Rattus norvegicus: one gene and its partners. The protein of the gene in region 1 binds, or shares a complex with, the protein of each later gene. Links are inferred from orthologs where the notes say so. Each region holds a gene or a part of one and is shown on either strand. Other genes may lie near its edges.

Region 1 (4,227 bases):
TAAATAGTAAGAGCAGTCCTAAGACAACTTTGATCTTTTATACCAAAATCCATACTTGCAGACACAACTGTAATATTTCGTTTGTCTTACTGCATAGACCAGCCTGGACCAAACTAGGTCCACCTGTCTCTGATTCCTGACTGCTGGGATTAAAAACCAAGCTGTACCACGCCCAGCCATAACTGTGTTTAAACCATTGTTTATAATTTGGTTTAATCCTACTTGGTATGCAAAGTGTACTGGTGACACTGGTCCATCTCTGGGTCACGCAACACTCTTGCTCTCTCACAGTGCGCTGTATGATGTATGGGTTTGGGGATGACCAGAATCCTTATACGGAGTCAGTGGATATTCTCGAAGACCTTGTCATAGAGTTCATCACTGAAATGGTAAGATACTTTGTAACTATCACTTTTTTGTTGTGTTGATTTTTGTAACTGTTAATTGAAGGTTTAAAATGTTAAGCTTTAGATAATGCTAGAATTTTTGAAATAAACTATCTGTTTGAGTGCCTGCTTTGTGCAAGTTCCTGGCTTCTATTTGCCCTTACTATGGATAGTACGTAAATGTATCTCAGAACTTCTGAGCTTTGTTTGTTTTATATTTCACTTGGTGTGTACAGGTGTTTTGCCTACAAGTATGTCCCTGTATGTTATGTGTGTCTGGTGCTCTTGGAGGCCAGAAGAGGGTGTTGGATTCCCTGAAATTGGAGATACAGACAGTTGTGAGCTGCCATGTGGGTGCTGGGCACTGAACTCCAGTTTTCTGGAAGATACCATTGTTCTTAAGCACTAAGATGTTTCTACAGCCCCTGAGTTTTATTTGTAAAAACATAGTATCTTTGAATAAAATTAAAAGTATTGCCCATAATCTCACCCAGCCTAAGTTCTTTCCCTTCCAGTATTTATTTAAAGGTATGTACAGGGGGTTGGGGATTTAGCTCAGTGGTAGAGTGCTTGCTTAGGAAGCGCAAGGCCCTGGGTTCGGTCCCCAGCTCCGAAAAAAAGAACCAAAAAAAAAAAAAAAAAAAAAAAAAGGTATGTACAGCTCATGGAATACCTTTGGGATTTTTAAAAAATTCTATTTCATGTGCATTGGTTTTATCTACATGTATGTTGTGTGAGGATGTCAGATACTTTGGAACTGGAGTTAAAGACAGTTGTGAGCTACCTTGTGGATGCTGGGAACTGAACCTGGGTCCTCTGGAAGAGCAGCCAGTGCTTTTTTTTTTTTTTTTTGGTTCTTTTTTTCGGAGCTGGGGACCGAACCCAGGGCCTTGCGCTTCCTAGGCAAGCGCTCTACCACTGAGCTAAATCCCCAACCCTGAGCAGCCAGTGCTCTTAACATCTGCACCATCTCTCCAGCCCCTGGTCTAACATCTTGAATGACCATTTTTATGGTTTTCTTCTTTTCCTTTGTTTGGATGGATTAGCAGGGGTGAGGTCACTGAGTTTGGTTGGTTTTAGTTCTTATGAGTGTTCACCCTTTACATTGGACCATCTCCTTACTACAGAATAAGTGAAAGGATTACTCAGCCAGGGCTGAGGCTGTTCGGTGTGTGTACAAGGGCCTGCACATGTGGCGAGTATTTAATCCAGTTTACCTCAGCTCAGGGAAAACATTAGCCATAGTAGTGCCAGATTATGCTAATATGCGTGTGCGAGGCCCTGGGCTCAGTCCCCAGCAGCATATTAAATGACAGAGCCTGCCATAGTGGCTCCTACCTGTAATCCCAGAATTCCAGAGAGAGTCAGGAGGATCTACTACAGGATGTAGCAGGTTCTAGGCCATCCAGAGCTACATAACAAGACTAGGATTTCAAACAAACAAATAAAATGAAATAAAGACATCTCTCAAACAAACAAACAGATAAAAACAAACAAAGCAGCCAGGCAGGAGAAGATGTCATTTCGGTGTGCTCGGCATTCAGGAGGCTGTGGTAGGTGGACCCCAGTTTTAAGACCAGGCTAGGTAGGCTAGGTAGTAAGACCCTTTCTCAACAAACAGAAACAAAGCTGAGCATAGTGGTGCATGCTTTTAGTTCTAGAAGTTGTAGCAGAGGCAGGAAGATTGCCTCATTTGAGACCAGCCTAGTTTCTGGATCCTGTCTCTATAAAAAACAGTCAGGAGGGGTTGGGGATTTAGCTCAGTGGTAGAGCGCTTGCCTAGGAAGCGCAAGGCCCTGGGTTCGGTCCCCAGCTCCGAAAAAAAGAACCAAAAAAAAAAAAAAAAAAAAACCAGTCAGGAATCAGAGATAAGTTGGCTTGAGTTCAAGGCTAGGCCAATCTACATAGTAAGTTCTAGTTATATAGTGAGACTCAAAAACATGTCTCAAAAACAAAACAGCAACAAAAATAATGTTATAATTGTGTCTCCAAGTATAGATTTTTTATATAAAAGATTTAAGCATTAGTCTTAGGATCAGTTTTATTATTTAGCCTCCCAAAACCTCCCTTCTTTCCTTCCAGCCTACTAAAGCCTAATTGTTATTTTCCTAATCTCTATTACCTACTCATTAGCCAACCCAGAACACATTTAACAAGACAAAAACTTCACCTATATCATAAAATAAAACAGAAGTATCTTCAAAAGTTGCTAGGTTTTTTTTTTTTTTTCCTTTTTCTTTTTTTTCGGAGCTGGGAACCGAACCCAGGGCCTTGCGCTTCCTAGGCAAGCGCTCTACCACTGAGCTAAATCCCCAACCCCAATTTGCTAGGTTTTGTTGTTGTTTTAGTCTGCCAGTCTGTCTGACCATCCATCTGCCTATCTGTCCATCCATCTATTTTTAAGGCAGGGTCTCGCTATATGTCCCTGGTTAGCTTGGAACTTGCTTTATAGACCAAGGCTTGTCTTGAACTCACAGAGATCTGTCTGTCTCTGCCTCCCAAGTGCTGGAATTAAAAGTGTGTATCACTCTGTCTAGCTCATTTTGGTAGTTTTATTGTCCGTAATGAAAAAAGAAGTCCTGTAATGCAGAAAGAAAATACTGTCGATTATGCAATAGAAAGGCGGTAAGGAGGGCTAGAGAGATGGCTCAGCGGTTAAGAGCACTGTCTGCTCTTCCAGAGGTCCTGAGTTCAATTCCCAGCAACCACATGGTGGCTCACAACCATCTGTAACGAGATCTGATGCCCTCTTCTGGTGTCTGAAGACAGTTACAGTGTACTCACATGCATGAAATAAATAAATTCCTAAGTAAGGAGATGATCAGACAGCTGGTTCACAAATGTAACACTAGCGTGATTAATAGAAAATTAAAACACAAAAATATTTGGCCCTTAAAAATTGATGTGTTTCCTTGTCATAGACTCATAAGGCAATGTCAATTGGAAGACAAGGTCGAGTGCAAGTTGAAGATATTGTCTTCCTAATTCGAAAGGATCCGAGGAAGTTCGCTAGAGTTAAAGACTTACTAACTATGAATGAAGAGTTGAAACGGGCTAGAAAAGCTTTCGACGAAGCCAACTATGGATCTTGACACCGTTTGTGATGCCCGGGATTTTGATATTTTCTGTGGAAACCATACATTGTATTTGTTGTCTGCAGTAATATCGTGATAGCTAGGCATGCAATGACAGAGGCCTTTGATTTTAGATTTGTAACGTGAGCCTTTTGTTGCCTGTCTTTATCTGACCATATTTGAGTTGCTTACTGGCCTTGAATAACTCCTAACTTAAAGTATTGCAAACCATGCAGTTCCACCCGAAAGGGGGAAGTAGTACTTATTCTTCAGGTAGACATGTGCATTCCAAGCTGTGTACATCGCTGCATAAAATGCAATCTAAATGTCCTCTTGATTTTATGAATGGTAGGGCTTGTGCTTTATGAATCTCAAGTTTTTAGACGACAGTAGTGGGAGAAGCTATTAAAGATAATGAACTGGTTTGTGTGGTTTTTTTTTTTTTTTTAGAAAACTAAATTCTTGTCAGAATGTCTTAATCGATCATTTGTTTTAATATTCTTTTCTAAAGAACACTTTTTTAAAGAGAAACTAGTATTTGCTAAGCATTAGTAATCTCGTCGTCTTCCTTGATGACTGTAATGCTTCCAAAAACAAATGCCTTCAGCCGTAGGAATGGCACAGCTTGTGAAGCAGAGGCCAGGACAGGTATTCTGGGTTGTGTTCCACTGATATACACATAAATACTTTCATTGTGAGAATGTATGGTTGATTAAACCTGTATGTGGGTGTGCAAGCCATTTTTATAGTTCAAGATATGCAGACTT
Region 2 (4,679 bases), on another chromosome or scaffold:
TTGGGTTGTCTACAAGACAACCTGTGTTCAACCCCATCAGAAATCTTTGAATGCCAAATATCTATACACATAGGAAGTCTAACACGGCTTCCAGAACTGAGAGGTTGTAGCGGCAAATCTCTACTAGCACAGTCCTCTGTTAGCAACATGTGAGTGCAAGTCTTCAGTCTTCTGGCCCAAAATCAACTGACAGACTCTAGAAATGCAGATTTTTGAAGGGCCGATCACCCTGTCTTGGCAGAGCTTATCAGTCAACTATTCTGCATAATTTGTCCTTTTCTGGACAATATTAGTCTGCAGATGAAACAGGCAGCTTTGTGTAGTGGCTGCCTAGCCACAAAGTATTGCCTTACCTGAACAAATTCTTCATTAAATCTGCCAAAGGGGAACTGTTAGGAGCAGCTACGTCTCAACAAAAGATAAATAACTTTAAGTCTCAAATTTTGTGGATTTCTGACGTTTTTGAAGACCATCCATCTATATAAGACAATCTGGACTGTTGTTTTCATATCTTAATATTTTTTTTTTGGTTCTTTTTTTTCGGAGCTGGGGACCGAACCCAGGGCCTTGCGCTTCCTAGGTAAGCGCTCTACCACTGAGCTAAATCCCCAGCCCCTTCATATCTTAATATTATCTTGAAAGTGCTCTCACAAAGTCAGAGCCATGAATGTGCTATTTGGCCCTTAACTCACATATGTAATCAACTCAGAAGTTTGTATTGACATAATTAGAAGGACTGGCTCTAAACCTTGTACTTTTAAACTTTTTTGACAAATAAATTCTATACCAAAACAAAGATATGATTTTAGCTTAGTTACCAAATGAGATAATGACTCTACAACTCAATCTAGCTAATTCCTCCCTGTTAAATTACAACCATTTCTAAGTTCCTCATAAAAACAACTTTAGAATAACTGCTTTCAGCCCCCCAAAAGTCCAGGGAATTGGGGCGACGACTCCTCCATAACTTCCTCAAGCTGTACATGGGCGTTGAGCTATCCTTGGGGGTAGGAGGCAGGAAGAATGAAGCAAATGCTGAGCAGATGTGTCCTGACTGGACCCAGCCGAAAGTCCTTGAGACCAGGAATCCAAGGAGGCACACAATACAACAATCAAGACAAAATATAACCATAATATATATAACCATAAAACTCAAGGTCACGGGCTGGAGAGATGGCTCAGTGGTTAAGAGCCCCGACTGCTCTTCCAGAGGTCCTGAGTTCAATTCCCAGCAACCAAATGTAGACACCCCATCTCTGACTTCCTCACCAGCGGTGCCTAGGTATCCAGAGAGGAAACTGGGAACCACACCATTCAACCCAGACCCCTCTGTTCCCATTCTAGTTCTGTGGGTAGCAGTGCCTGACATCATCCAGAAGGGAAACATTCACTGTGGACCCCCTGTTCTGGCTTTTGTTATGCCGCTCAGGGCTGGCATGATGGTGGCTGCTAGACACCTCCAGCAGAGGCAGAATGCAGTATGACATCAGAGCAATGTGAGTTCTTTATTTTTTATTTAAAAAGACAGCCAAGAGCTGGAGAGATGGCTCAGTGGTTAAGAGCACTGACTGTTCTTCCTAGCAACCACATGGTGGCTCACAGCCATCTGTAATAGGATTTGATGCCCTCTTCTGGTGTGTCTGAAGATAGCTACACTGTATTCATATACATAAAATAAACACATTAATTTTAAAAAAAGTCAGCCAAATCTTTATTGGGAAATGGGTCCCTAGGAAGTGAGCCTGGGGCCCTCGTTGCACATCTTGTTCCTTAGCACTGTTCCAAGAATTCCTTTTTTTTTTTCTTTCTTTCTTTTTTTCAGAGCTGGGGACCGAATCCAGGGCCTTGCGCTTGCTAGGCAAGCGCTCTACCACTGAGCTAAATCCCCAACCCCTGTTCCAAGAATTCTTTTTTTTTTTGGGGGGGGGGTTCTTTTTTTTTCGGAGCTGGGGACCGAACCCAGGGCCTTGCACTTCCTAGGCAAGCGCTCTACCACTGAGCTAAATCCCCAACCCCCCAAGAATTCTTCATCGCGTCTCGTGTTGTGGAGAACTAGAAAAGGTGTAAATATTGCAGGCCTTCAAAGGCATCGTCTGCTCTGAAAGCCAGGTCCACTGTGACTGAGGGCCTGTGGCTTTGCTACCTGTTTAGTGAACCATGTGCTCGACTCCTTGGCCTCAATGAAGTTGGTGGTCTTCTTGTGCCGGATCATGAGAAACACTTCCATCCCTGTGACTGACTGCTTCTGACTTGATGCACCAGACCTGAGCAGTGTCAACAACAGGCATTAAATATTTTAATTGTGTGCAGTGCAGACCTGGCGCAGACGCGGTCCACGCCCAGCGAAACCGCCCATTCGACAGCTGGGGAAGAACGAAGTGGGCACACTTGTAGGAGCTTCCCGAAGTGCTCGCCTTCCCAAAGATTTGGGAACCTCATGGGACTGGAAATGATCCTCATTGGTCCAGGCACTGTAGAAACAAAAGAAATGTGGGAACGGGATACTAGCTCTGTTCTGACGGGAGGCAGGTAGCCAATAGTTGAAGCATTGAATGAAATCGTTGGATATATTCTATTGGCACTAGAGATGCTTGCGGTACAGAAGAGAAGCCCAAGCAGTTCCCTGGTGGACCCAAGCCGCGGATCTCAGTTCTTTGGAAAATACGAGGTTGAGTCTCTGCCGGAAATTGCTCAGTCCAAGGCAGCAACAAGCAGCCGGACGGAGTTTTCGCCCCGTTCCGGACTTTGCGCTCAAGTTAACGGATTAATTGGCATTACATTTCCAGGAAGGAAGGAAAAAAAGAAGTCTCTCGGTAAACGAATTGTACGCCCTTTCGAACACGCTTCTACCCTAAAGCGGAGGATCTATACTTTTACATTTCTTTCTGGTTAAAACAAAGTCAGTATACAAGAAGACCCTGAGCGATCGAGACTCTGAAAATGACCCCTCCCAGGAGCCGTGGGCGTGACGTCATCGCGGCGCGACCACAAGCAATAAGGACCAGCTCCAAGCCATAAGCCTCAGCTATAATATAAGTCCCGCGGCAAAACTCGCTGACCCTCACTCCTTCGCCCGGCCGCGCTGCCTTCGCCTCTAACCCCCTCCTGTCGCGATGGAAAACCTTGGAGAGTCGCCCACGGACAAAGGCGGGGAGTCAGAGGAGTCGAGGGCTACTCCTGGGAACCCGTTAGCGGCAGACACTGAGGGAATCCCTGAGGAAACCGATAGGGATGGAGACGTGGACTTGAAAGAAGCCGCGGCAGAGGAAAGGGAGACCAAGAGTCAGGATGTCTCAGGTTTGACAGCAGTTGAGAGGGAAGACTCATTTCTTACTCCTGCAGCCAAAAAGCTGAAACTAGAAACCAAAGACAAGAAGGAGAAGAAGCAGAAGGTGGACGAAGATGAGATTCAGAAGATGCAAATCCTGGTCTCTTCTTTTTCTGAAGAGCAGCTGAACCGTTATGAAATGTATCGCCGGTCAGCTTTCCCGAAGGCAGCCATTAAAAGGCTGATCCAGTCCATCACTGGCACCTCTGTGTCTCAGAATGTTGTGATCGCCATGTCTGGCATTTCTAAAGTTTTTGTCGGGGAGGTGGTAGAAGAAGCCCTGGATGTGTGTGAGAAATGGGGAGAAATGCCACCCCTGCAGCCCAAGCACATGAGGGAGGCCGTGCGGAGGTTGAAGTCCAAGGGGCAAATCCCCAGCTCAAAGCACAAGAAAATCACCTTCTTCTAGATCTAACAGAGACTGTTCAAGACTTTCCGTATAGTTGGGCTTCTGTACTGAGGCTTTGTTGGTGGTGAGCCCAGGACACTTGATGCTGACTTTAATGTTTCTGTTACACCTACAAGGCACGTAGTGTGCCTCAGACTTGCCTTCACTCAGTCATAGACTGTCCTCAGGCATGTTGAAGAATTTCACAGACTCTTGGCTATTTTTAAGAAAAAATACACAGGGACTGTTAGTATCTCCTGGAGAGGGAGATGATTTCAGAGAAAAACAAGACAACTACAGTTTCACATTGAAGCCTAAAGTGGCTAAGATTCAGGTTGTTTCGAAACAAACTTTCTCAATAATCTGCTGTGAAGACAGTCACACCATAATTCGATTCTCACCGTTAACATTTCAGGTTGTCCTGTGTATTTTGTGAGGGATTATTAAACTTTTCCAACCTGTGTGGGAAACTTTGTTTTATTTTGTTGCAGACAAAACTTATTGTCCTTCCAATAAAACTTGGATTTTTTTTCCTTGTTTAAAAATACAAAACAAAACTTTTAATTGCCCTGGGGCTGAGTTTCTCTGACCCTGACCCAGAATGGTTGAATTCAATTTGACATGCCCTGTAGGAGGCCCCTTAGGGGGTTAATCTGAATTCATTAGCCTACTACTGGGCTTTGCCACACCTTATGCCTACTGCAGAAGGCTGAGCTTTCTTTTGGATTACTTCTAGAAAAACAACAACAACGAAAAACATTGTGCCTACGAATGCCTCGCCTATAATCCCTTTTCAAATGACATCTGACATTTTCCTTTTTCTTAAGACTCTGAGAAATTACTTCTATCAGATTAGCATAAGTGTGAGATCCAATATCTCTAATTCATTCCTCTACTGGTGCTGATGGTACCTTTAACGGTCTGATCAACCTTTTGCATTCTGAATTAGCATTTTCAAAAGCC
Region 3 (3,720 bases), on another chromosome or scaffold:
GCAAATTCAAGGCCAGCCTGTAAACCTTAAATGAACTGTCTCAAACCAAAACAAACACCAAACCAAGGTAACATTTCCAATAAATGAAAGGGCCTTGGGGGTGGCAATGATTATTCCATTGGCCCCCAGTTCTCTCATATACAAAATGAAGGGAATAGGTCAGACAACTCTTTTTTTTTTTTTTTTTTTTTTTGGTTCTTTTTTTCGGAGCTGGGGACTGAACCCGGGGCCTTGCGCTTCCTAGGCAAGCGCTCTACCACTGAGCTAAATCCCCAACCCCAGACAACTCTTTAAAGTTAAAACTGTGATATCTGATGATTATTTGCCTATAACTTTTAAGAAAACCTTAGTGAGGCTGGCAGGGCCTCACTAAACCTTAGTAACTCGGTAGATAAAGGCAAGTGCTTGCCACCAGACATGCAGACTTGAGTTCAGTGTTCACAGCCCACATGGTTGAGGAGAACTGACCCTACATATTGTTCTCTGACATATCCCTGTGTGATGGCATGCATGCTTAAATTCACTTCATACAAGACTGAGGCAGGAGGATCACTAAGTTCAAAGGAGCCTAAGCTACACAGTGAAGACTCTGTCTCAAAAATTAAAACACAGTGCTGAATAGAGGACTCTGGTTGAGAGCACTGCCCATTGCTGCAGAGGACCTGGATGAGATTCCCACCACCAGCCATCACTCTAGTTCCAGGGATCCAACACATGCATGTGGTACATTTTTATCATCCAGGGAAAGCATTGGTACATACAGAAAACAAAAGGCAAAACACAGAACCGAAACCACTCCTAAGGTCAGGATTTTAGATGCTTTTGATAGCTATTTTTCCTAAACAGTTAGGTTTATATTGTTTTAGGATTTGTATAGCTTCCTTTTTATGAAATGTGATGGACAGACTGGTTGTCATACTGAGTAACTGTATGGTCTAGCAGATTAACTGTTTGGAAGATTTCATTTTTTTCTATATGAGGGGACAGATCACTTAATTTAGCATAGTGTTGTTGGTAAAGAGGAAGAAATGTTGAAATGTTAGTTCTGAATTATGAGAGATTGCCTTAAATAATATACCTAAAATACTATTTCTGGACCTTTTTAGATCTTAGTCTTATAGACAAAGAATCAGATGATGTCTTAGAGAGAATCATGGATGAGAAAACTGCAAGTGAGTTGAAGATTTTGTATGGTCACAGTGGGCCTGTCTATGGAGCCAGCTTCAGTCCGGATAGGTAAAATTCAAACACAATTAAATGCTGATGAACAGTGCTGAGATTTCAAACTTAACTGCTGGAGATGAAATGCAAATGCCAAACATTATGGTTGCCTGTAGTTCAGTATCTTTCAGAATTAGAATCTTACCATTTGCTAATATATGTTGGGGACTGGAATATAACATAGCACCTAAGTGTATACTGAATATACAAAAATCAGGATATACATTCATGGCTTCACCAGTTTCAGAATTTAGCTTTATTTTTGAATAACCCTCTGGAAGAGGTTGAATTGTTCGAGTTTGTGGATTATTCTTATGGAACTTCCTAACACTTAAGAGAAATTGCTCATTAAAAGCTATCAATGGAAGCATTTAGGTATTTTAACAGGAAAACAGAAGAAAGCTGGGTGTCATAGTAAGTGCCTGCCATCCCAGCCTCTCTGGAGGCTAAGGCAGGAAGGAGAATTGTGGTTCAAGGTTCACTGGGTATCACAGCCAGACCATGTTTTGAAATAGCATGTGTTTAGGTATTTCTTGATTTTCATTTCTAACTTTCTGCAAAAATGGCTGGGAAAGGGTGGTTTCACCCATATTATCTTGTGTATTCTACTTAGTAGTTTTTGACCACCAGAGTTTTCATTGTACTTGTGAGATCTTGAGAAATAAACAAAACAAAACCAGTACCTAATAGGATTTAGCCAAGTGGTACATTTCACTTGAAGAGAATGATTTCAGTGAAAACTGTTGGCTTTTTTATTTATCCCTGAAAAAGGTGGAACGTTAGTATTCTGCAGGGGAATGGCGTCCTGGTTGAACACAGGGCCTCCAGCACATACTAGGTGTGCACTCTGCTATTGAGCTGTACCCGACTCCTTCTCTCTATTAGATACAGTCCATGCTGACAGCAAATCACATATTCAGAACTGATGCACCTCATTTCTAGACTGTCTGGTAACCGCACTGCTTATTAGCCTCAGTACTAGTTTCTTAGTGTTTTGAACACAGGGTCATCACCTGAGTTCTGAGGTTACACATGCGCTATCACACTATTTTTTTTCTTTTTTCTTTTCTAAAGCACTGTGACCCCTCCCCATAGTCTTGACAGGTTTTTTTGTTTTGGCTTGTTTTTTTTTTTTTTTTTCTTTCATTATTAGCTTTATATAGTTAAGTGTTGAGGATATACTTCGACATGATTTCACTTAACATTAGTTTAATACTTTTAGCTTTTGTTATCTACTGTGAATTCTAAGAATAGAGAGGTGGGGCTGAGATGGCTCAGTGAGGAAAGTGCTTGCCATGTAAGTGTGAAAATCAGATTTTAGATCTCCAGCACCCATATAAATGCTGGCCTGGCGGCCCTCCTGTGATCCCAGTGTTCTAGACCTGGAGCTGGGGTTGCTGACAAGCTCTGGGTACATCTGGGAGATTGATCCAGGGAAGACTCCTAAATATACCCATGCATCCTGCATTCCACACACAGGTGAGGGAGCTGAGGATGTGTAGCTCAGTGGTAGAATGCCTGCCTGCCTGCCGTGTGCAAGGCCTGAGGGTGAGTCCTCAGCACTCTGCGCCCACTCCCAGGAGCATGTGCACGCACACACTAATGTAACATAGGTGCATGTCAGTTGTTAAAATGTGAGGTTGGGAGAAACTTGGACAGGTAACTAGACTGTACTGAGAATCAGTCAGCACCGCCTCTTCTCCTCAGGAACTACCTACTCTCCTCTTCAGAGGATGGAACCGTTAGACTCTGGAGCCTGCAGACTTTCACTTGCTTAGTTGGATATAAAGGGCACAACTACCCAGTGTGGGACACACAGTTTTCTCCATATGGATATTATTTCGTGTCAGGAGGCCATGACCGCGTAGCTCGGTAAGAACACTGATCTAATGGGGTTTACTCACTGGATATAACTGTATCTTGTCAAGAACACAAAGTCCAGCAAGCCGTATTTTCATGCTATTCAGGATTAACTTTTGGAGAAGATAATTCACAGCTGTAACTTGAAAATGTGAGAGGGGAATATTTCTCCCTCCAGGGTCTACACCGAGGGCCCTGCTTCCTGTTACTCTAAAGTCCCCTTTGAAGTAATTTTTGTTAGAAACTATGTGGTTGCCCAAATTATAGGAAAATGGTTTTCTGTTCATTAGGAGTGGGGAGGTGGGTATAAAAGAATAAGCGTTTATATGCTGGCTGGAGAAATGGCTCAGCAGTTGAGTTCTGACTGTTCTTCTAGAGGACCCAGGTTCAATTCCTGGCACATACATGGCCGCTCACAACTGACTGGAACTCTAGTTCCTTGGGATCTGGCGCCCTTACACAGACATGCATGTAGGCAAAACACCAATGCATATAAAATAAAAATAAATTTAAGTCAGACAGTTATCAGTGCACACCTTTAATCCCAGTACTTGGGAGTCAGAATCAGGTAGATCTTTGAATTTTGAGGCCAGCTTGGTCTAAGGGTAAGTTCCAGGATATCTAGGACTATACAGAAAA
Region 4 (4,791 bases), on another chromosome or scaffold:
GGGGTGGCTGCTTTTATCCCAGGACTTGGAAGATGGACTGGGCCAGAAGGATCACTAAGAGCTCAAAGTTCTACCTAGGAAGGGTCACAGAGACAATGTATAAAAAAAGATTTAAAAAATGCTTCCACATTACATTTCAACTGTAACAGGCCCCCAGTTAGCACAACTGACTCCATGAGGAAAATACCATTCATTACATAGTGTGTTGATTATTCCTGCTTGTCAACTTGACTATATCTGGAAGGAACCACAATCCAGAAATGGAGGGCACACCTGTGATTCAGGTCTTGAGGCTAGAAGACACATGGATATCTTGAGGCATAGTGACTATGAAAAGCTTAGGTCCAGGCAAGGTAGTACACACCTCTAATCCCAGACAAACAGATCTCTGAATTCCAGGCCAGGCTGGGATAAGCCAAGTTCTGGATCCAGGAGTGGTGCTGCACACCTTTAATTTGCGCTATACTTTCTGCAGGAGGCCTATATAAGGACATTGGAAGAAGGAAGACTCACACTTCTTCAATTGCTTGCACTTACTTCTTACTTGCCAGCACATCTGTTGGTACCCACTTCTTCAAGATTCCAGTTTATACAGAAGACTGGGTGAAAGAACTAACCTCGTGGGACTGAGAAACTAGATTCTTGAACTTTCCATTCACAGCTGCCCATTGTTGGGTTAGTTGGGCTACAGACTGTAAATCATTACATTAAAATCCCTTAATGTATACAGACATTCCAGAATTTCTGTGACTCTAGAGAACCCTAACAGTACAGACAGTACCAATGGGCAAAACAAAAACAGACCTAATTATCAAATTTCATAGTTTTGAGAAAGTCTCTAATGTACTAACCTTGTTTTTTGGCTTCTGTAGTTCTGTCTCTGGAAAGTGGTTTTTGTAACAGAAACATGCCAATGTAGAACATTTGTTTGTGCTTAAAAGCTCACCCTGAGAAAGCCTTAGGGCCACACTGGGATCCAGAACACCCAATGTAGTCGCTGGCTAGCTAATACTTTATATTGGCTTAAAACTATGTCCAAGCAGCCTTCTTTGGTGGATACCCAACAACAAAATCAGAACGTTTGTGTTTCAGGCAAGGCAATTCTGTTCTTAATGAACCTGTGTCATCATAAAAACATTTGTATACAGTTATATCTATCAAACATATTACCAAAATAGCGTATCATACATATCACACCTCGTCCTCTGGAGCCAAAAATACTAACGAAGCTAAAGGCTTAGTTCCTCTCAAAGCTAATTAACATGATTATACACAGCGTTATGTGGTAGACAGCAAAACTGTATCATTCCACTGTTTTGGCCACTTTACTTTCACTTTGTGATGCTTCCAAAGCTTTTGGCGGAGGGACCGGGTATGCCCTGGGAAGAAAAGATGCTTTCTGCAGGGACGCCCTTTATCTCTGGCAATCACTCTAGAAACTGTCTTAACCCACGACTTCATAAAAGTGCTGTCTTAGGGGGTGTGCTTATGTTTTACTTTTTGGAATCTTCATCTTTGAATTCCAAGCCAAGGTTTTTCCGGAAACACTAGTTTTAATCCTATACAAGGTAAGTTCTCACGAGAAGTAGTCACGAGACGACGTAATTACGAGAATGCGCCTGCGCGCGCCGCGACGTTACTACTTCCGGAAGAGCGGCAGCCAGCCCCTCCGCGTCTACTTCCGGTCTTTGACGTAGCGCCGCGTCTGCTTCCGCTCACTGCCGTAGCACTTTCTTTCCTTCTTTTCTGCGTGGGAGGAGGCTTGGCAAGGTCCTCTCCGGAGTTCGGATGTTTGAGCGGCAGTGTGGCGAGGTTTCGCGCTGCGGGTCCTGAGCCGTTTCGTTGTTAGCGCTCAGGTCGCCTTGCCGGGCGGCTGAAAGCGCGGACAAACTGGAAGGTAGACGCACCGCTCATCGCTGCTTTACTCAGGCCGAGAAAAGCTGAGTTCATAGTTGCTGGTGAACTGTAAGTACCCGAGCCGAAGAGCTCACGACTTTTATTTAAATCTCTTACTGGAGAGAATCCGTGGATTGGGATTGCCTGCCAGACGGACGGACTGTGCCTAAAATCCCCTCAGGCGCTGCTGTTTTCTTTGGCTGTTCACGTGATGCTGCAGCGGCGTCTAGAGGCCCTAATTTGGTATTGCATCTAGTAGAGGTGTGAGTTTAACAGGGACAATGCCAAAGTGGGATGCATGTTTAGAGATTAGTATTGGGACTTAATTATAAATTAAGACAAAATAGGCAGTAGGTGATGATCCACTTAGTTGCTGTTTTCCTTAGAACTCAGTAACTAAGAGTTTAAGATTATTCTTAACCTTGTCCTTTTTTTAACTGTTGTAGGAGCTGGAACTTGTTAGTGCAGCAGGTGTTTATTGGAGAAGTAATTCACAAGGAAGTGAAGATGAGTAAGAGCAAAGATGATGCACCTCATGAGCTAGAGAGCCAGTTTATCTTACGGTTGCCCCCAGAATATGCCGCTACTGTGAGGAGGGCAGTGCAGTCTGGGCACGTCAACCTGAAAGATAGACTGAGCATTGAGTTACACCCTGATGGGCGTCATGGGATTGTCAGAGTGGATAGAGTGCCCCTGGCTGCAAAATTGGTAGATTTGCCGTGTGTTACGGAGAGCTTGAAAACCATTGATAAAAAAACCTTTTACAAGACAGCTGATATCTCTCAGATGCTTGTAGCCACAGTAGATGGTGATCTATACCCTCCTGTGGAGGAGCCAGCTGCTACTGCTGATCCCAAAGCAAACAAGAAAAAAGATAAGGACAAAGAGAAAAAATTTGTTTGGAACCATGGAATTACTCTACCTCTAAAAAATGTCAGAAAGAGAAGGTTCCGGAAGACAGCAAAGAAGAAGTACATTGAATCTCCAGATGTGGAAAAAGAAGTAAAGCGGCTGCTGAGTACAGATGCAGAAGCTGTCAGTACTCGTTGGGAGATAATTGCTGAAGATGAAACAAAGGAGGCAGAAAATCAAGGCCTTGATATCTCCTCTCCTGGAATGTCTGGCCACAGGCAGGGCCATGACTCACTAGAGCATGATGAGCTTCGAGAGATATTCAATGACCTCAGCAGCAGCAGCGAAGATGAAGAAGATGTAAACATCATTGACACTGAAGAGGATCTGGAGAGACAGCTACAGGACAAGCTAAATGAGTCAGATGAACAACACCAAGAAAATGAAGGAACCAATCAGTTGGTTATGGGGATTCAGAAGCAGATTGATAATATGAAAGGCAAGCTTCAAGAAACCCAAGACAGAGCAAAGCGCCAGGAGGATCTCATCATGAAGGTAGAAAACCTGGCTCTGAAGAACAGGTTTCAAGCTGTTCTGGATGAGCTCAAACAGAAGGAAGACCGGGAAAAGGAGCAGCTTAGCTCTTTGCAAGAAGAGCTGGAATCACTTCTGGAGAAGTGAAAAGGTTGACTTTAGTCCTTAGACTAGTCAGCTTAAGAAGAATTTATTTTCAGAGTGAGGTCTTGAAAAATTCTTCTTTTTTCTTTGAAATATTCTTATTTCCTGTAATGCTAGGAGTTATTGTGTTGATTGTTTTCACTCTTAAGAAAATAGGATTACATAGGCAGATTTGTTGTAGTGTAAGGTTAGTGAAGTGACAACACTGAGCTTTTAATCACTTCACCATAGGACTTTATTACAATTTGTTTCCTAAGTTTCTAGTCCTATTCTTCGGTGCTAAGATCAGTAAGAAGCTAGCTAGCCTACAGGCAATGGAGTGTTTTTTTTTTTTTTTTTTGTTTTTTTTTTAAGAAATATATTTTTTTACCTTCTCAGCAAGTTTCCATGTTACAGAAATGCAAGTTTTTTCATAAAAGTTGTTTTTTGCACAATAAAAGTTACTAATTTTCACTTTGCTTATCTTGTTCTTCAATGAATACTGAAAGTTGAGGTGAGCTCATGGAGTTTAATGGCTGAGTGGTATAGATCAAGATACATGCTGTTGTTTTGCCTTTTTAGAAAAGGAATACACCAGATAAGGAAATGGAGAAATTCATCTTTGCATTATAGATTATGGTTCAGGCCTACCTACACCATCTGGAGGTTTGTGAACACTCGGTCCAGAGCCTTCTTAAACTATCCTACTTTTCATTGAAGGATATCTGTCTATATCTTTTTATTAAACACTAAAGTTATCTATAAAATACTGGAAGCAGTTAAACAGTTATCAGATGAACTATTCCACTTGCTTAGATTAAGATTATATTCTTAACTGTTGCCATTTTAATTGCTATGCTTTTTTAATAGGCATGTTTGTTCATGTTATTTCATTAGTATTTGCCACTATGAAAGCCTGTTACCAGGTCTGGTATTTTAAAATTTCATACATAGAATTTTTCTCTGAGGCATTTAATGTTTTATGGATGGGAGGGGTGTTTTTGGGGAAAAACCAAGATTGGTAAGGTGCATAGTTAAAAATTAATTTCTGTCTGATTTGTTTGTAAAACTTCACTTTAAAAGTACTTGCTTCATAAATCAAAGTTCAGATTTTGTTAGAAAACAGTAGTGAAGTGTTCAAAATGAGTTATTAAGACTGAATTCAGGATCAAGCCTCTTAATGCTTAGACGCTTCAGAATGTACTTTTCCTTGCGTTTTCACAAGCACGTGACTGCAATGCAGCTTAAAGATTCCCTTAATATCTGGCTCTAGAGTGTTAGAGTCATAAAGTATGTGTTCTTAACAAAGTGGCAGGTGAAAAATTCTAAGTATATTTAAGATATTTTCACCACACTTAAAGAACTGACACCAGAGGAAGATACAGT
Region 5 (4,752 bases), about 170 Mb from region 1:
AACAGTTCCCATCAGTAGCATACAATTTAGAGTATATTGAAGTATAATTCACCTTGGTGGAAAAAAGAAAAACATCACAAATTAGGAAAAACAATAAATACAGGATTAATACTGATCAATATCAAAATACAAAATCAACCATGTAATGTGGACTCAAAAAAGATGTTAAAACCTTTAAGTAAATTTTAAATGATTACAATTGTATCAGATAGTCTATTTGTGGTGGGATGGTATAAGTAAAAAGGTTTTCATATAAACTCCAAAGAATGAAACAGAAAAGCCACATATTTGTGCACTTACCTTCTGTTATAAAGAAAAACTAATCCCATATAAGCATTTTTATGCCTAAATTCTTATTTCATATCACGCTGCAAAGTACAGTGTATTTACAACTTAAGAGAAAGGAAAAAACACAATGAAGTAAGACTCATCAGTCACTTCGGATAAACCGGAAGTGCACTGGTCTATTTTAGAGTTGTAGGTACACACAAGCCCACCCGCTAAAATCTTTCCCACCTAATATAACAAATGCTCTTCCCCTTATAATTTAGGATTAGGGCCTGACGTTTTAAAAGGATACAAAAACGTCTGCTTAAGAAATTATACTTGTCGAAATAAAAGATACTCAACGGTCGGGGCTCTTTGAAAACAAGACTGACAATCATCACCTTGGATAAAAAACCAACTGTCTCTGATGATAAATACCAGGCTCGTGAATTACGCTGGAGATAAACGAGAACTTCAAGACTACCCCTAGCCGATCCACCTCCACCTCATACACTGCGCAGGGGACAGGGACACATCAGTCCTAGGTGTTTGTGCAATCAACAGAGAACGGAGCTGACACATCGCACCATGGCTTCAGGCCAGGGCTCCTCACCTACATCCTACACTAGTCCATATTGGAGGGCGGGTCCGGAGGACAGCCCAGGTAGGCGTAAAGACGAAGCGGGTCTCACGCCTCTAGGACATTAATAAGAAAAGCGGAAGCGTCGTCGTCCTTACTTTCTGGGAGCTGCGTCCCCTCGCGGGCGGAAAGATGTGAAGGAGGCCAGGCTGTAGTGTGGAAGGGTAACCGCCCAGCCCTCCCAGCTCAGCCGCAGGCTTCTAGGGCGGCCCGCCTCCTGGGGACCTTCCTTACTGCGGGCGCTTACGCGACGCACCAGAGGGGAGGGGCCGGCAGGCGAGCGAGTGACGTAGGCGTCCAGCGTACTGCCTGACCCGAAACGCAGGCCAGGCTTGGCGCCGTGCTTTCCCCCCATTCGGTGGAAGTGTACCTCCCGAGGCCGGGGAGTCATTGGTGCGAGCCAAGGGGGTCCTAAGTGAGTGTGAGCACCGCGAAGGGCCTCGAGGGAACCTAGCCGCGGGCGCACGCGCCCGCCCGCCCTTTCCGGCTCCTCCCTGGAGAGCGCGTGAGCCGAAGCGCTGGCTGCGTGTGAAGGAGTACTATGAAGCTTCCGAACATCCTGCTCACCGGTTAGGGCGCGCGGCGGGACTGGGCCAGGCCGGGCCGGGGTTTGTCGAGTGCTGTGAGGTCCCGGGGGGCGCTGGGTGTTCGGCCTCGGGGCTCCTCAGGCCGCGCGGCGTGCGGTGTCGTGGTCGCGTCAGGACCCGGCGCTCGCGACCGTTGGGGGAGGGGGTAGGGGGAGCGGGGGAGGCGGAGGTTCGGTTAGCCAGACGCGCCGCGGCGACGAGAAGGAGAGCGGCTGCCGGCTCCTGCTCCGTTGCCCCGCCGCCCCGGGAGACACTTAGCCTTTGTCAATCTGGTATCTTTGCCTGGAGGACCGGCTGCTGATTCTTTGTCGCGGTCGGGCTAGGGGTTTTTTTAAATCGGGGTGCTGTGAGGCAGTTTTTAGCCGTTAGGTGATGTGGTAATGGTGGGTGCCCCAGCCCTTGGGCCTTCCTGATCGCCACCCATTTTCTTTTCTTTTTTAATGCCCCGTTTGCTTCCCAAGAGGTTTCGGTAGATGATTTTGGGATGCTTGTGGAGAGAAGTGACTAGTTAACTGTTTCTTAGTTCCGTTCGCGCCACAGGCTTTGTTGTTGTTTTAGTGTTGGGGTTTCTGAGCGTTTGTGGACGTTTGTGGTGATCTGGAGCTGATCGTGGGGGCCGGGGGAAGGTTTCGGAGCTTTAATTAGAAATATTAAGTTGTAGCATCTAGTAGCATCAAAGGCCAGTCGTACAAAAATGGGATGGATGTAGATGTCAGGTAATGAATCGTAAGGTTGTTGTCTGCCTCAGCTCTACGCACTAGCTTTTAAGGTTTCTTAGGAGGAACGTTTTACAATACCTGATTTGCATGGTCAGACAGTGTCTTGGGGGGGTTAAGATTCTGAAACCAGAAGGCTACAGAGGGACCCTGGTGATGGAAATCAGTTGATAGAGAACTTATAACTAGTAGGCAGGAAACCCTGGGTTGGATCCCCAGAACTTACATAGACTAGCTGGGGTGGCATATGTCAAAGGCCAGCCCTATGTATGGGGAAAAAAAAAGAGAGAGAGCCATATCATAAGATTGAATAGGATGAGAATGTAGAGTCGTGATTTTTACTTATAATGTTCAAATTGACTTAAGTAATTTTAAGCTTGAACATTATGCATTTGATTATCTTAAAAGGGTATTAGCTATAAAGGCAGAAAAGCAAAGAACAATGTATAGTGCCATTTATACAACAGGGTACCTATGCTGTGGATATATACAATGTGTATGTGCACACATATTTAAATGCATCCCAAGTATCCTGTAGACATACACAAACTCATAGAAAGTTGAGTAAGAAACTGGTTTACAGTAGTTCCCTCTGGGGAAGTTACTAGTGTAAATAGTAGTAATGATATTTCTCATACCTCTTATATTTTTTCCATTGAATGTTTTTAAGCTTTTGTTAATGCAGCAAATGATAATGTATCCCAAGTGCCTGATTTTTTTTTCTTTTTTTTTTTTCTGGAGCTGGGGACGGAACCCAGGGCCTTGCGCTCTACCACTGAGCTAAATCCCCAACCCCCGAAGTGCCTGATTTTATGCTGGGAATTTTATATGTTGGCAGGCAGGATTGGCATCAAAATTTTTGGAGTCCTATCCCTGGAGATTAGGGTCCTGACACTAATACCCAGTAATTTCTGGAGAATTTTTTGGTTGGTTTGGTTTTGAGACAGGGTCCTGCTATGTGCCCCTGGCTGTCCTGAAACCAGCCTAGTCTGGTCTTGAAGTCACAGAGATTGACCCACCTGCCTCCACCCTTAGTGCTGGGATTAAAGGCGTGCACCACCATACCAGGCTTTCTGGGGAATTTTTATTAGTTCATGGTGTATATTCATATATGATTGCTAATTAAGAAAAATTTTATACCGTCTAAGAACTGTAAGGGCAGGGGTTGGGGATTTAGCTCAGTGGTAGAGCGCTTACCTAGGAAGCGCAAGGCCCTGGGTTCGGTCCCCAGCTCCGGAAAAAAAAAAAAAAAAAAAAAAGAACCAAGAACTGTAAGGGCAGAAGACGGCTGACATGTAGTAAGTAGGATTTGAACAGCATTTTTCTGTGGCTTCTCTTACAGGTACACCAGGGGTTGGAAAAACCACACTAGGCAAAGAACTTGCATCAAGATCAGGCCTGAAGTACGTTAATGTGGGAGATCTAGCTCGGGAAGGTAAGCGTCTCTTTGATGTTGTATTTCTGTTTTTAAGTCAGGTATAGTAGAGTGTTAGGACTGTGAAGTGTTGCTAGAGGGTCCTGGCAATGAGTGATTATGTTCTGCTAGGGGCCTGAGAAAGAAAATCACATGTATAATAGATAGTAGTATGACATAGTTATTTTGGACATTTTCCCTTCCCTACCCCAAAATAACTAGCATTATTGAGAATAGTAAAAATTGTGACGGTTTTGTTGGGAGACTGGATAGATAAGCTCTGAATATGAGGAAGAGGGAAAATGCTGTGGGCTCAGCAGACACAAAGGTTTGGGTGATTTTAAATGTATGAGACATTATATTGATCTCTCCAGGATAGACTACCGTGAACTCAAATAGGATATGACTATCATATTACTTTTTAAAAGTCACTTGGACAGTTGCATGCCCAGACTCACTGCATGTAGTCTAAAGTGTTATTTTTTACTTATTTACCCCTTTTTTCCCCTAATCTTTTATTATTTAACTTATTTGTGTCATCCTTTTTATATCCACATTTCAGAGAAGGAATTTCATATTTAAGCAAAGGGAAGTTTAAATATGCTTAATTAAAGAAAAAGATGGATGTTTTATATTTTAAATATATTTTTAAAAGTTTTAACACATTTGAGAATTTTAAATTCCTAACAGTTGCTACTAAAGTGACTATTTCGGTTTGATCTAATTTCCATATTTTTTTTAAATGACCTAAAGTCTGATCACCGGATATCATGGAGTCTGGCAAGATGGCGTCTCCCAAGAGCATGCCGAAAGACGCACAGATGATGGCACAAATCCTGAAGGATATGGGGATTACAGAGTATGAGCCAAGAGTTATAAATCAGATGCTGGAGTTTGCCTTCCGATATGTGACCACAATTCTAGATGATGCTAAAATTTATTCAAGCCATGCTAAGAAACCTACTGTTGATGCAGATGATGTCCGATTGGCAATCCAGTGCCGTGCTGACCAGTCTTTCACTTCTCCTCCCCCGAGAGATTTTTTATTAGATATTGCAAGGCAAAGAAATCAAACCCCTTTGCCATTGATCAAGCCATATTCAGGTCCTAGATTGCCACCTGATAGAT

The links.
Region 2: Taf13 (region 1) and Taf11l1 share a complex: the UniProt entries of both Homo sapiens proteins name them as parts of the TFIID basal transcription factor complex. The link is inferred for Rattus norvegicus from reciprocal best matches to the Homo sapiens genes TAF13 and TAF11.
Region 3: Taf13 (region 1) and Taf5 share a complex: the UniProt entries of both Homo sapiens proteins name them as parts of the TFIID basal transcription factor complex. The link is inferred for Rattus norvegicus from reciprocal best matches to the Homo sapiens genes TAF13 and TAF5.
Region 4: Taf13 (region 1) and Taf7 share a complex: the UniProt entries of both Homo sapiens proteins name them as parts of the TFIID basal transcription factor complex. The link is inferred for Rattus norvegicus from reciprocal best matches to the Homo sapiens genes TAF13 and TAF7.
Region 5: Taf13 (region 1) and Taf9 share a complex: the UniProt entries of both Homo sapiens proteins name them as parts of the TFIID basal transcription factor complex. The link is inferred for Rattus norvegicus from reciprocal best matches to the Homo sapiens genes TAF13 and TAF9.

What each region holds. Positions count from the first base shown.
Region 1 is NC_086020.1:198,899,572-198,903,798, forward strand, and holds part of Taf13 (transcription initiation factor TFIID subunit 13), read left to right. Parts: intron 1-291; coding exon 292-389; intron 390-3,307; coding exon 3,308-3,478; 3' UTR 3,479-4,227. UniProt on the Homo sapiens protein: The TFIID basal transcription factor complex plays a major role in the initiation of RNA polymerase II (Pol II)-dependent transcription.
Region 2 is NC_086028.1:74,278,068-74,282,746, reverse strand, and holds Taf11l1 (transcription initiation factor TFIID subunit 11-like), read left to right. Parts: upstream 1-1,688; 5' UTR 1,689-3,113; coding exon 3,114-3,737; 3' UTR 3,738-4,186; downstream 4,187-4,679. UniProt on the Homo sapiens protein: The TFIID basal transcription factor complex plays a major role in the initiation of RNA polymerase II (Pol II)-dependent transcription.
Region 3 is NC_086019.1:255,909,483-255,913,202, forward strand, and holds part of Taf5 (transcription initiation factor TFIID subunit 5), read left to right. Parts: intron 1-1,106; coding exon 1,107-1,236; intron 1,237-2,928; coding exon 2,929-3,093; intron 3,094-3,720. UniProt on the Homo sapiens protein: The TFIID basal transcription factor complex plays a major role in the initiation of RNA polymerase II (Pol II)-dependent transcription.
Region 4 is NC_086036.1:29,710,264-29,715,054, reverse strand, and holds Taf7 (transcription initiation factor TFIID subunit 7), read left to right. Parts: upstream 1-1,730; 5' UTR 1,731-1,965; intron 1,966-2,342; 5' UTR 2,343-2,403; coding exon 2,404-3,429; 3' UTR 3,430-3,879; downstream 3,880-4,791. UniProt on the Homo sapiens protein: The TFIID basal transcription factor complex plays a major role in the initiation of RNA polymerase II (Pol II)-dependent transcription.
Region 5 is NC_086020.1:33,526,991-33,531,742, forward strand, and holds the start of Taf9 (transcription initiation factor TFIID subunit 9), read left to right. Parts: upstream 1-1,397; 5' UTR 1,398-1,448; coding exon of another isoform or gene 1,449-1,476; exon of another isoform or gene 1,477-1,624; intron 1,625-1,652; exon of another isoform or gene 1,653-2,210; intron 2,211-3,552; coding exon of another isoform or gene 3,553-3,645; intron 3,646-4,377; 5' UTR 4,378-4,394; coding exon 4,395-4,752. Other genes in the region: Ak6 (adenylate kinase isoenzyme 6), read left to right, coding at 1,449-1,476, 3,553-3,645. UniProt on the Homo sapiens protein: The TFIID basal transcription factor complex plays a major role in the initiation of RNA polymerase II (Pol II)-dependent transcription.